Arabidopsis thaliana: one gene and its partner. The protein of the gene in region 1 interacts with the protein of each later gene in a pairwise test. Each region holds a gene or a part of one and is shown on either strand. Other genes may lie near its edges.

The links.
Region 2: the proteins of AT1G67530 (region 1) and AT5G50020 interact in a two-hybrid assay, tested with the Arabidopsis thaliana proteins (one large-scale study listed by BioGRID).

The regions. Positions count from the first base shown.
Region 1 is NC_003070.9:25,305,641-25,312,429, reverse strand, and holds AT1G67530 (ARM repeat superfamily protein), read right to left. Parts: upstream 4,814-6,789; 5' UTR 4,623-4,813; intron 4,610-4,622; exon of another isoform or gene 4,325-4,609; intron 4,274-4,324; exon of another isoform or gene 4,231-4,273; 5' UTR 4,202-4,230; coding exon 4,151-4,201; intron 3,927-4,150; coding exon 3,741-3,926; intron 3,651-3,740; coding exon 3,543-3,650; intron 3,426-3,542; coding exon 2,263-3,425; coding exon of another isoform or gene 2,190-2,262; coding exon 1,349-2,189; 3' UTR 1,122-1,348; downstream 1-1,121. Other genes in the region: AT1G67540 (uncharacterized protein), read left to right, coding at 79-81, 170-934; AT1G67520 (lectin protein kinase family protein), read left to right, coding at 6,283-6,355, 6,625-6,789. UniProt on the Arabidopsis thaliana protein: Functions as an E3 ubiquitin ligase.
Region 2 is NC_003076.8:20,349,243-20,355,361, reverse strand, and holds AT5G50020 (DHHC-type zinc finger family protein), read right to left. Parts: upstream 4,203-6,119; 5' UTR 4,153-4,202; coding exon 4,121-4,152; exon of another isoform or gene 3,830-4,120; coding exon 3,733-3,829; intron 3,097-3,732; coding exon 2,911-3,096; intron 2,521-2,910; coding exon 2,221-2,520; intron 2,033-2,220; coding exon 1,799-2,032; intron 1,724-1,798; coding exon 1,238-1,723; 3' UTR 1,045-1,237; downstream 1-1,044. Other genes in the region: AT5G50030 (Plant invertase/pectin methylesterase inhibitor superfamily protein), read right to left, coding at 1-290, 511-696; AT5G50010 (transcription factor bHLH145), read right to left, coding at 4,871-5,806. UniProt on the Arabidopsis thaliana protein: Palmitoyl acyltransferase.

The DNA of each region.
Region 1 (6,789 bases):
AAAAGTTTCTCGATCATTTTCCGGGAAAATTTACAGACGAGAAAATAAAACATTTGGAATCTGCTACATTCCTCATAAATGGTATGCAATTCTCTTTGTTCTTACCCTTTGATAACCTCAAATAATCTGGACATGTTTGGTTATTTTTTGTGATTTTGGATTTTGACAGGAGCAACCGGCGAGAAGGAGGCCGCGACGTCGTCCTCTTGAGACTTGTGGTGGTGTAATACTCTCCATGACTCGTGTTCTTTACACAAGAAGCCAGACTCTGATGAAGAAGAAGAAGAATCTATCCTCTTGGCTATTGAGGAAACTCTTTGAATTCGTTATCTTCTTTGTTTCGATGACAAGTCCGTTTCATCGTCATTTTCTCGCGGTTCTCTCTGTAGCTGACGATCATATACTCGCGTTACAAGACGCAATCGAGACTTACTTCCCTTCTTCAAGCAATGTGTTTGTTAAGATCTTTGATTTGTTGATCATTGTAGAGACTCTGCCAGAGAAACTTGATGGAGTGCTCAAGAAACTTCCGAGTTTGATGAGCCGAGTGGCGTGGCTAGATTGGTTGTTGGTTCATGTTATTTCTAGGCTTGGTTTGTTGGTGAACGTGTTGGGACGTTGGAGAGATAAGAACAAAGGGACGAATGAGAAAGAGATCACAGTTGATAGGAGCTTTAGCAGATCAGGGTCAGTTTCAGAAGAGGAGGAAGAGAAGAGGAATTTGGGGACGGAGAAGAAAGTGTCGTACAAGGAGGCATTACAGAGAGGAAGTAGTGGAGAAGATGGCGGTGGAAGCACTGGTCGAAGCAGCAGTAGCCGCAGAGATCCGATCTTGGAACTCTTTGAGACCGGATGGATTCAGAATCCCATCAAACGAAGTAGTAGAAGCGCGGATTCGCTCACCTTCTCGCGTTCTGAATCCTATTCGACCTGATTTCTTTCGAGATTTGAACCCGAGGGGTGACACAATAGCTTACATGTTTTGGTCTCTTTCAAGTACTTCTTGTATTCATTACTTTGTAAATGTCATATTCTAAGTAACCTAAGTTTAAGATTTGTTTTAAAACTTTGGATACTTATCATAGAAACATAATAAACCAGAAGAATGACAATAAGTGAATACGATGTTAAAACTGGGGTTTTGTTTTACTTGTATTTACCTTGATTGATATACATCTTTTTTTGGCTAACCAAAAGAACAACAAAAATCGAGTGTACTAATCACAATGAGACCTGTACAACATATCTTCTTCTCTATGAAATGACTTTTGTAACTTGTAAGAAAGAAAAACAAAGCTTTACATATAAAAGGTTGTACTTGTATGTACATGTGATATTTTCTTCTTTCTCACTCGCGAACCGAGTAGCTTTTCTTCCAGAAGAAGCTGAATGGTCTTGCCATCGACTTTCTTCTCGACATTGATTTCGACAGGACTCTTGGTTCATAGTCTTGAACTGAAGCTGAAGCAGGAGTTGATCCATGGACAGACAGCGGTGCTGAGAGAGATTTTCGGGCAGGTTCCTTTTGGGGTGGCTCATCTCTGTTTGAAGATGGCTGGTCCCGTTGCTGTCTTTCTTCCCTAAACAGCATTAGAAGCTTCTGAGACTTCTCTCTGCCTCGAGGTGTTCCGTTTACAGAGATTGACACTAATGATGGTATCACACCTTCTTGTAGCACCATTTGGATACAAGACTCTCTTCCATTGCATAGAATCAAAAGGCATGAAACAGCTTGCTCCTGCTCTGTTGTGTCACCCATGTCTAGCACTGTTGCTAGACTGCTGATCATGCCCTGTGATGATACCGCTTCATCTTTGCCCTCCTGGCTTGAAGCTAGATTTAGCAATACGGCTAGTGACTTCTCTATCCACAAATTTTCACCTGTTGATGCGAGAAGGCCTTGGAGGCTCTTGATGATGTTAGATGAAAGGAGAGCAGGGATATTGGGGGAATATGTGGAAAGGTTGTAGAGGGCGTGAAGAGCATCGAGCTTGCATTGGGTTTCGATTTCCTTCTGAAGAAGTTGGACAAGGAAAGGTACTGCTTGGCTTGAACCTATCACGGACTTTGCTTCATCGAGACAGGAAAGGTTCAGATAAAGCGCGGTTGCTGAACCATGGGACTCAGCAGAAGAAATCATTTTCTCCAGCAGCCGAATCACCCCAGAAGTTAACATCAACTCTTTGTTCCTTGAGAACACAAAAAGTAATGAGAAAGTCACAATCTATTATTGTATTACCAACATCAACAAGAGGTACTAACCTGTTGTTGTTGACGGCTAAATTGAACAGAGCCATAGCTCCACTATCCTGAGCTGCAGCATTGTTATCATCTACAGCTGATCCTAAGAATCGCAACAAGGCTTCAACAAACCCGTTGGCTCCCATGAAGATCCTGGCCTCTTCATCATCCTTCAGCAATAGCCTGATTTTTTCTACAACCTTGCATTTTTTCTCCAAACCCTCCTCTTCGTTTAAGACAGCCAATAAATCTTGATACCTCTCAAGTACATTTATATCAGAATCCTCCTCATCATCATCATCAGACACAAAACTTTCTTCTGTGTTTTGTCGTTCAACAACAGTAGTACCATTCTCCTCCAACGGAACAATTTTTACGCCCTTCAATTTATACGACCCTATACTGTTGACTGACTGTGATTTGGTGGACTCGGAGTCAGAGAGAGCTAGTCTCCAGTAGTCGAGGTCTTGAGATTCCGGCGGCCCACTAGGAATTTGAGTTCCATTCTGTTCACACCAGCTCGCAATAAGACCTTTAACACAGTTATTGGGAGTCAAAGAGATATGTGGGAGCTGTTGTTGAGTCTTTGGGCAAGTATTATGCCCATCACTGAACCATTTCTCAATACAGACCCGTTCATAAGTCTGCCCTGAAGCAATAATGACAGGATCACACATAAGTTGCAAAGATATGGGACATCTCAGTTCTTCGGGTGGAACAGGCATCTGTCCTGAATTTATGCTGTTCATGGGCTTGTCGTTTAAAGAACCAAACCTTGATAGCTGACGACCAAACCCATGAACACTCCCATGATCTTCATTAGGAGAACATGGATAGGAACCCGGAGAGTCATTCTCATCCAAGATCTCACTTCTGAATAGCTTGGAGCATTTTCTCATAAGATGCAGAAGATAAGCCACAATTGATTCCTTACGCTTGTCTTCTTCGGCGCGTGCCCTGTCAATGAGTTTCTTTAAAGCCCTTCGTTCTGCCAGAGCCACTCTAGAAGAAGTGATACTTAGTCTAGTAGCAGCACGGTGGAAAATTTCAAGCTCGGTGTTGTCATTACAGTTGTCAAATTTCTTCCCTTGTTGAAGCAATGCAATAATCTGATCACCGACTTCCTTCTCCGATGGATCAAGCATGAACCTGGTGTTCTCTAGTTCACCAACAATTTCCAAAATCTGAAGAAATCATACATAAAAAAAAACAGACTTCTCAACTATAAACATCATAACTATCAATCAACAAGTGGACTTATCTTAATCATCACAATGTGAAATGAACTGAGTAATAATTACCTGTGACCCAATTGAGCTAGGAACAATGTCTTCTACACGTTTAAGACCATCAATGAGAGCAATTTTTGCTTTCTCAAACTTTAAAAGAACCGCATCCCCCGTTATGGCCTGTTCACATTGGAAAATGTAGAACATTAAAGAAGCAAAACACACGAAACGAGAAAGCATAAAACTTGTCCAAAGAGAGAAAAAACTGACCAAGTAAAGTTTACTACACTCAGAACAGTGCTGAAGAATATTTTTTGCCTTCTCAAGTGCAATATGTAAAGAGCATAAGGCTTGAATCCCTGATTTGCTACGCGGTCTTGCTCCTTCCAATGACGGGAAGATTGAAAGTACCTTGCATAGAACTCCAGATAGTTCCTTGCACATATCTCCATGTAACTGTAGCAAAAGCACAAGACAATCAAATCATCAAACACCAAGAACATAAAAACACGAAACCCTCTAACAACATTGAAATCAAATGATAATAAAAAATATGTCCTTTAAGATAACCCAATTACTATTTCTAATAGAAAATTTGTTTGCAATAATCAGAGATGCAAATTTAATCAGATTCCAACAATTACAATCCGAATTCGAACATTTCAATTTAAAAACCGAACCTTGGCATCGCTAGCCGCGAATAGATTCTCTTCAAGCTCGGTCACATCCATGATCAAACCTCACCAAAACAACTCTAAAACTACAAAAATCTCCCAGAAACAAAGGAATCAATACATGAATTCAGAGAAATTATTAAAACAAACAATGAATCATGCTACAATCACAGAAATTACCTTTGCTATGAGAAAAAGATCTTAACCCAGAAAAGAGAAAGAAAAAAAAAACAGAATTTTTTATTCAAACAGCAAATCCTGGAAAAATTGCAATAACGGAACTGAAACACATCCACAAAAACCGGGAAATTCTACGATTAATAGAAAAAATTGCGAATTACATTAAAAATAAAAGAGAGCACTAAAAATAAAGCTGCGGAGAACACGTGTGGAACCAGTAACAACCAAAAATGGACAAACAAAGACAAAACAAAGAACAGAACAGAAGAGATAAGATAGAGGTCAAACATTTACATACCGGGGATATTGAGAGACCGGCCAAGGAGGAAGGTTCATAAAAGATAAACCAATAGAGAAGAATCAGACAAGTGATGATGAATTAGGGTTTTGTTCTTGGTAAGGCGATCCATGATTTTGGGGTTAAATGTGAGAGAGAGAGAGAGAGAATAAAAAGATATTCGAGTGGAGGAGGAAGTACTTAAGAATCTGTGTGTTCTGTTTTAAAAATTATTAAGTTAAGAACGGCATTACTGTGATGTTAATTAGTATTCTAATTTAAAACTAATGAACGGTTCTTTCTATAAATATTTATTTAATGTACTAGTTTTAGGAAGTTTTCCAGAGACAATATTGTAACTGGGGTTGACGTGAGTTTTCATATAATTTGTAACTTTTTGACTTTTGTTTAAAAGATTAATTTGGTTAGTTAGGAGTATTTAAGCTTTTTTGGAAGAGTTTAGAGTTTATGGTTAACCTTTTTTTTTAAGAGATTAGTGCGTTATAGTTGCAAATAGTGCGTTTTTTTCCATCAGAAAAGTTAGTGGAAACATGAACAAATTGTCAGTTAAATTATGTTATCCCACTTGAATATTTTTGCATTTTGCTTTTAATTTCTAACGGTCCACCAAATCACCAAATGGAGTATTTTAATTATTCTTGAATTAAAAACTCACTCAAAGATTTGCTTCTTCCCATCCACCCAGGCGGATTGAAGTTTTTAGCGTCTTTTTAATTATCATTTTGTATTTATAATTTATTAGATTTTTAAATTTATAATTTGAAAATTATTATCATTTATTTATTTTATATCAGACTTAAATATAAAAATATTGTTTTTGAGTTGTTATATTTGTTACCTAAATTCTTGCCAAAAAAAAAGAAAAAGAGAGAAAATCTTCTAGCTTCGAAAACATCTAATACTGTAATAGTAAAATCATTAAAACTTTTAAATTGGTTTATCAAAACTATGTCGTATATTCTTCTCCTTCTCCACGGAACCCACACATAGTAGAGAAACAATATGAGCAGTTTATCACACTCTTGAGTTACCAATTTTCTCTCATTTCTCATTATTCCTTCACTTTCTTTCGAGGTACTTCATACATAGTCGTCTTTCTCAAGTTGTTGTGGATTGTAGAGAAGACCTAATAAGCTAGAGAATGGATTCGAGGAAGTCTTTATCTTCCATCGATAGCTTCAACGATTGTTACGTTTGCTTGTAACCCAAGATTCGAAGGTCAACAATTCCACGGATGATATACCTTACTTGAGTCTTTATTTCTAACCAGTTATATGTTACAAGCTAAGTCTGATTCTTGTATTCTTTTCTACCATTGAAACCAATAAAATGGTCTCCTTACCAAGTAAAACAGGGTTATTATTATGTACTCTAACAACATTTTCCGTTCAATCAATACAAGAAGCTTTTGGATTTCTTATTTCTTTTTTTTTTTTGGGTTTTTTTCTTTCAACAAAATGATTATAAATTATTTATTTTTCTTTACCAATAAGATTTGGGGTTTTATGAACCATGATGAAATACTTTTTTGTCTTTTTATGAAGAAATGATATAACTCTGTTTCTCCTCTCTTGGTAGCAATTGGCTTTTTATTTCTCAGGTAAGTAGTCTCCCCCTTTTAAATCCTTATTGGGTGTTGTATTCTCCCAACAGGCGTGAGATGTTCGTTAAAAACAAAAACAATTGCTCAAGAGCATGGCGTCTGGTTCTGTTATGTATGTGTCTTGTTTTAGGTAATAAGAGTCAACTTCAATTTTGTGGTCACTTTCTTGCTAATTAGTTGTGATAACAGCTGTTGCTTAGAAACTTCAACGGCCAAGACTTCAATTTTGTCTCCCAGCGTAGTAGACTTGGAACTTCTGATATGACTTTGATCACAAACAAGATATATCTTTAAAAAACCACTTTAGAAAGAAATCTATTTGCCAAATCATCCATCTTTCTGAAACTATGTGTTCAAATGGCATCTTTGTCTCTCTTCTTACTTTATCTCTCTTGTTAGGAAAATCATGCAGTGAAACAGATACGCTACATCAGGGTCAGTTCTTGAAAGATGGGCAAGAGCTCGTTTCTGCTTTTAAAATCTTCAAACTCAAGTTTTTCAACTTTAAGAATTCAGAAAACTTGTATCTTGGAATTTGGTTCAACAATCTTTATCTTAATACTG
Region 2 (6,119 bases), on another chromosome or scaffold:
GTCATCTCCATAAGCGTCTTGGAAGCAGTGTCAGTGTTTTTCTCGACCAAACCCTTCACACGCCTTGTATCATCGCCAGAAACCATGACGTCGTAGTTGGCAGTGTCTGGTGAGTCCTTGAGTTCCAGTAGAGCGCTCTTTAGAGACGCCAAAATACCAACATAGGCGTCGTGGCACTCGTTGAACTGAGTCTTCAATGTTGCGTCCTTTTTGGCTGTCTCTGCTGCGAAACCAGCTGTCTTCTCGCAGTGGGATATTGCAAGGCCAACCACGGCCTCAGCCAATGGTAACTACAGATTAAAACATAAGCAATTTCAAAGTTTTAATGAACTTTTTAAACACCTATAAAAACTTCTTAAAACAAATGGTTGGTTCTTCACACTTTTTCCATTGAATTCCTTTTAAATGATGTTGCCATAGACGCTTATCGAAACAAACCATCAAAAGCTATGTAGATGTGTTTTAGTTTAGAATTATTACTGAATAACTATGTGTTTAGATGATCAGTACCAGGCCGGTGGCAGCAGCGGCAGGAGGATAGGTGGTCAAAGTTTGGATGCAGAAGGCTTTGTTTTTGACTCTTTGGCAATTGGAATCGATGTATTCCCTGTTGACCAAGGCTGAAGCTGGGGCTAAGAGAAATTGTGACAGAACTGCCAAAGTAACGACGAAGAAACAACCGGAGTAAGAAGCCATTGCGTCGCCGGAAAAATATTTTATTTCTCTTGACCTCTAAGTATGGGGAAATCGGATTTTGGTTTTAGCTTTTGTTGGTTGAGGCAATATCACTTTGGGTCATATATATACCAAAATGGCAAGTCTAATTTAAGAATGTAAAAAATTTAGTGTGTTCTCAGTTTGAACGGTCTCTATAAATAGATCATTGTCATGGTTCCTATAACTTTGGTCAGGGGACAAAAATATTCAATCTTATCGCCTTTCTTTATTTAGAAAGAAAAACAGTAAAATAAAACTGTGGTTCTGTCTATTTTAAGGCAAAAACCAGAGTAACCTAAATCATCATTAGAAATCATCATCACGGCAAAACATTCAAAAAGTTGATTACTTATAACTTAATTCGACCTCTACCCAAGCTTACACTAAACTTATTCACAAATAGTGTTCACAACTCCCAAATCAAACCAAACCCACAAAATAATGAAAAATTGAAAACAATAAAAACTTAGTAAGAAAGAAAAAGCTTCAAAATAATTACCCTACTACCATCGTTCACTCATCACCGTCCCTCCTCTGCAGCTGCATAGCTTCTACTTTCTCTTACTGAAGAACCAGCAATTACGTCCTCCTCCTGTGCATTGCTTCTTGCTCCCCAGTTTCCATGCCTGGCTTCTGATCGAATTGTTGGCGCTCTCTCATTAGACCCGATTCTCATTTGGTCAATATCGATCTTGTGATGCGCTGTATCGCTGCCCTCTTCGTCATTTAAACGCTGCTGCAGTTTCATAACATCTTCATCGATGTCTAGATCGTCTTCCACCTTCTGGCGCCGTTCCTCCCTGTTTTCTTCATCTGCTTCTTCTGGTCGTTCCCATGTGGTAGCCAATGTAATATTCCTTGGAGGTTCTTCTTTGATGAACGCTCTGAAGTCATTCCTTGAGGGTTTAACTTTTGAGCAAAATGTCTCAAAAAAATTGTTTGAACACCCACGGTTATAAACGTTGATTCTATTGTCTGATCTGTACCGGAAATTCTCATAGGTCGTCTGAAAAATTGAAATGTTGGGTATCAGATAGGACACAATTTACACAACGCATACCCTGAGCAGAACAAAACTAACCTGGTTTGTGCTAATGAGGTACAAGTGAAACCCAGTAAGCCCTCCAACAAACCACAGGGAAATAAAGCAATATATCATCAGCATAACCGCCCAGGGTGATTCTCGCATTGCCCTCCACACAGTACCTTGATGGTTATCCATCAGAACCTTGATGTATAATGCCGACATCGAAAAAATGTAGATGCAGAGAATAGTTGCCGAAGAAACAAACATAAAGAAGTACCTATAGTTTCTCTGCCCACAACACACACAAAACAAAATGTCAAGATGGAAAATTAAAGTTCACAGTTTTGTCAACAACTAGAAAAACCAGATCCTCAAAATATGAAATCCTTTTATAGAAAATCCTGCACATTTTTCTGCTTATAAGAACTTATGAACTGCATATCTTCCCAGTTTAATATGCTTTTGAATCAGCTTACCACTCCAATGCATTGGCCTACCCAAGGGCAATGATGATCAAAGCGCTCAACACAGTTGTTGCAAATGGAACAATGGGAGCATCGAGGAGGCCGATAAAGCATGCATGTATCACAATATTTAACTCTAACAGAAACGCCATAAACCATGACTTCCTTCGTCCTAGGAATTTGAACAGTGGGTGTTTGTCTTCCATCACTTGATACAGTTGTATCATAGCATAGTTCTTCCTCTGGCGGATGCGAATTTCTTGGAACGATTCCAGGATCCCGCGCAGAAGTGAGGAAGAGAAGGATCAGTACCTATTAAGTATTTACATGATTTTAAAAAAAACATAAATGAAGGAAGAATAATAAACCTGCCCAAAAAAAGCATAATCCAAAAGCCACACAAAAAGTGACAACATTCAAAATAATACTTCAAACTTTATATCTAAGCTAGAGGAAAGAACATAACAAGAAACACAGTAAGATACATGTTATTGAGGTGTGATTTCAAAATTTTGGTAAGATTTTTAACTTATTGTCGTATAATTACAAGTGAATCATACTATAATGCATGTATATAATCAACATTCAAAACTTATAAAAGAGTTGATAAGATCCTATAATATCCCATGATAAGATTATAAGGTATACAAGATACATGTGAACAAGAAATCAAATATCAAATGGGCATTGGAGAAAACTTACAAAGACAGTAAATAGAACTCCTGCCACTAAGAACACATGTCCCGCATTGTTTGGTAAGAGCTCGCGGCGAAGATGTGTTGCAACAAATACAGAAAAGAAACAAACGGGAGTTATGATGAGCAGGAAGGTAAAAGGAATAGACCAAGCATCTGGCCCAAATATCAATCTCCCACCAAACAGAAACTTCTGCAAAAGACCAACAAAAGAGAAGATGATCATCATGTTCAGAATAAATACAGCATAGAGCATTGCATCAAAAGCTACATTCACAAGTGGTAATGGGTTCCATTGAACAAAATCTGACAATAGACTGATAGAGTTCACCAAAAATGCAAGTTCATGCTTGGAGAGTGAACCAATAGTGAATAGAAAGCTCATCAATGTTGTAAATATGGTGATGCATCAGCATGGAACCAAACCAAATCTAACAAATACGGTATATATGTTCAAACTTAGATCTTCGCAATGATAACAATAAATGACACTATCAACAGTGATAGAGTTGAAAAAGATTCGAAATTTAAAGCCACCAAATTCAACATATACAGTCGAATCCAATAAAGCTCACCAATGTAATCTAATTGAATATGATGATACTAATTTCTTCACACAAAAGTACAATTTCCCTCAAAAATGTCCACATTGTTCTCATCAAAACAACAAATCCACTCAGAACATTCTTCTCTGCAATTATTTTTCTTAAAACTAGGACAGTGAAGTCATAAAAATGTCGCCTTTAAGAAAACCTAAATGTAGATTCCAGAAAAGGGAAAAGAGTAAAGCGAAATCGAGACGCCTTAAGAAAGAAAAAGAAAAGCTTACATTACTTCCCTTCCAGGCTTCGAAGACCCGTCCAGCCATTAGAATCAGCGAACGGATCAGACACTCCTCGCTACACTCTCTGACGAATTGGAGGATCCTGAAAATTTTCTACGCCGATTCATTTCACATCAGAACTCCGCCCAAAACCTAAGTGTTGTCTCTCTAGCAACAAAATTCAGGTGGGTGAGAGTAATTTCCAAAACAAAATTGTAGTTTTTGTGTGGTGCGATCTCTTCTCTTCTCTTCTCTTCTCTTCTCTTCTCTTCTCTCTCTCACAAAAGGCGTTTCGTTTCTGGATTGTGTCTCCCGAGACGAACATTACAGTTTTGTTCCTTCATTTTTTTATTACGCATATAAAATTATTTTTGTAATGTTTTAAAAACCGGACCGGTCCGGTCCTGCAGACCAAGAATCGTTCATGTGGCTGAAATTGGGATGAACCGGTATCTGGTCCGGTTTCTAAAACATTTAGCTGCAAGATTTATTCTGAATGGCTAGAGACATGTATTCAAAACTTATAAACTGGATGGGACTACAGTATATCACATGTCACTAGTTCTATGCACAAAAGTCAGGAAATGACAAGTGATAAGAGTCTTAATCATGAAACAATAGGCAAAAATTGCTACCATATTGACAAAAGACTGCCAAATATCCCACCAAATCACATGTCTGTTTGGCACGAAAACAAACATCTTTAATCATTTGTAAAAAAGTTAAATTAATTGTGTGTTTACCATTATAATTGGCCTATCATTGAAAATGGTTATTCAACTTTCCCATTTATGATTCTCTCGGCCACACGACTCACAGATGAACAATAACAACCACACCGACAAAATCTTATAGAAAAAGAAGAAGCAACTACATGATATAACAAACAGCTAAACGACTGAAATTAAAATTTCGCAATCCATCTTAATCATCAACTAATATGAAATATTCAATTTGCATTTTAATATCAATTCCTTCTCTTGCAACTCCGAAACATTATTTGGTTTATCTTCCAACTAGCAACAACCTGATCCCTTTGTAGCTTGACAAGAGTACCACGGTCCAATATGTCTACTACTTTGTTTAGAAACCAAGTCCACTTGCCAATGCTAATATGTCTTAGGTATCCTACAAACAAAGAACCTCATGCTTCTCGATTTTTCGCTTCCATCTTCAATGATTTAAGGTAATCAATGGCTCTATCGATGACTAAGATCGGGTCCACCAGTTCCTCCCCGGGGACTACACTGCGCAAGAGGCTTACAGTCTCAAATATCTTCTCTTCTCCTATCTTGTTACTAGACAGCTTAGAACGTTTCAGAAAACTAATCCTTGTGTTGTCACAACTACCACAGCTCGATTCAGCGTCCCGCATACTCTCATTCGAGGTTTCGAGTATCTTTCTCTTTTTAGCATTTAATGGTTGTCCATAGCTTCCAAGAAATGTTTTTTGGTCCTCACGGCCTGATACTACAATGCTTGGGGAATGGTCTGCGCTTGTAACCTCATCTTCTTCAGAGCAATAACCACTCTCATCTTCAGAGTAAAGCAATGCATTTAGTTCTTCCGAATCCTCCTTCAAATCCGGTTCGCTATTTCCTTGCATTCCGTGACAAACAAACAAATCTTTGTTGCTTCTTTGGAGCTCTTCCTTCATATCAGGACAGGCATGCTGTTTTAGGGTCTCAAAAGATTTCCGTATATCGGAAGCGAGTAGCAAAGTCGTCTGATCTCCAGACTGATCAAACACTAGGAACCTCTTCTGACTACATTGTTCCTCAGCTTTAGATATAACACCGTCTACTTGAAGAGGTACTTGCTTCATACATTGGTTTTGAGGAGGCAAGAACTGCTGCTGTAGGTGGGATGACCCATGAACCCATCCACAATACCCATCAAAATAGGATTGAGAGACTTGGGTAGAAACTTGATAAGATCCACGAGTAGAAAACATGTCGGTGGTGTCGCCGCAGGTTTTAGATACTAAATTCAAGTCTTGCTTCCCGAGATGAGACAGAGCTAGGGAAGACAAGGAACACAAGCGCTGAGTAGGAAACCCAAACCCACGATCTTGTCCCATCCAACACTAAACAAATCAACTATCCAAAACAGAGGACATCATCATCTCAAACAAATCAGCTACTTATAATCAAGAATGGGAGGTCAAAAGATTATGTGTGCAAAGACTGGAACTTACCAACTAAATGGATAGAAGAAACTAGGCTTGAAACAAGAACGATAAGTATCGAGCTACTCTACGTGACGGGCTTCAACAATTGACGGAAATATTCAGCCTGCAAAATACACAACATCAAAGCTAAAACGAAATCAATAAAAAAAAGTTCTGGTGGTTTAAAAATCTAAATATATTGCAATAACATAAACTCATCAAA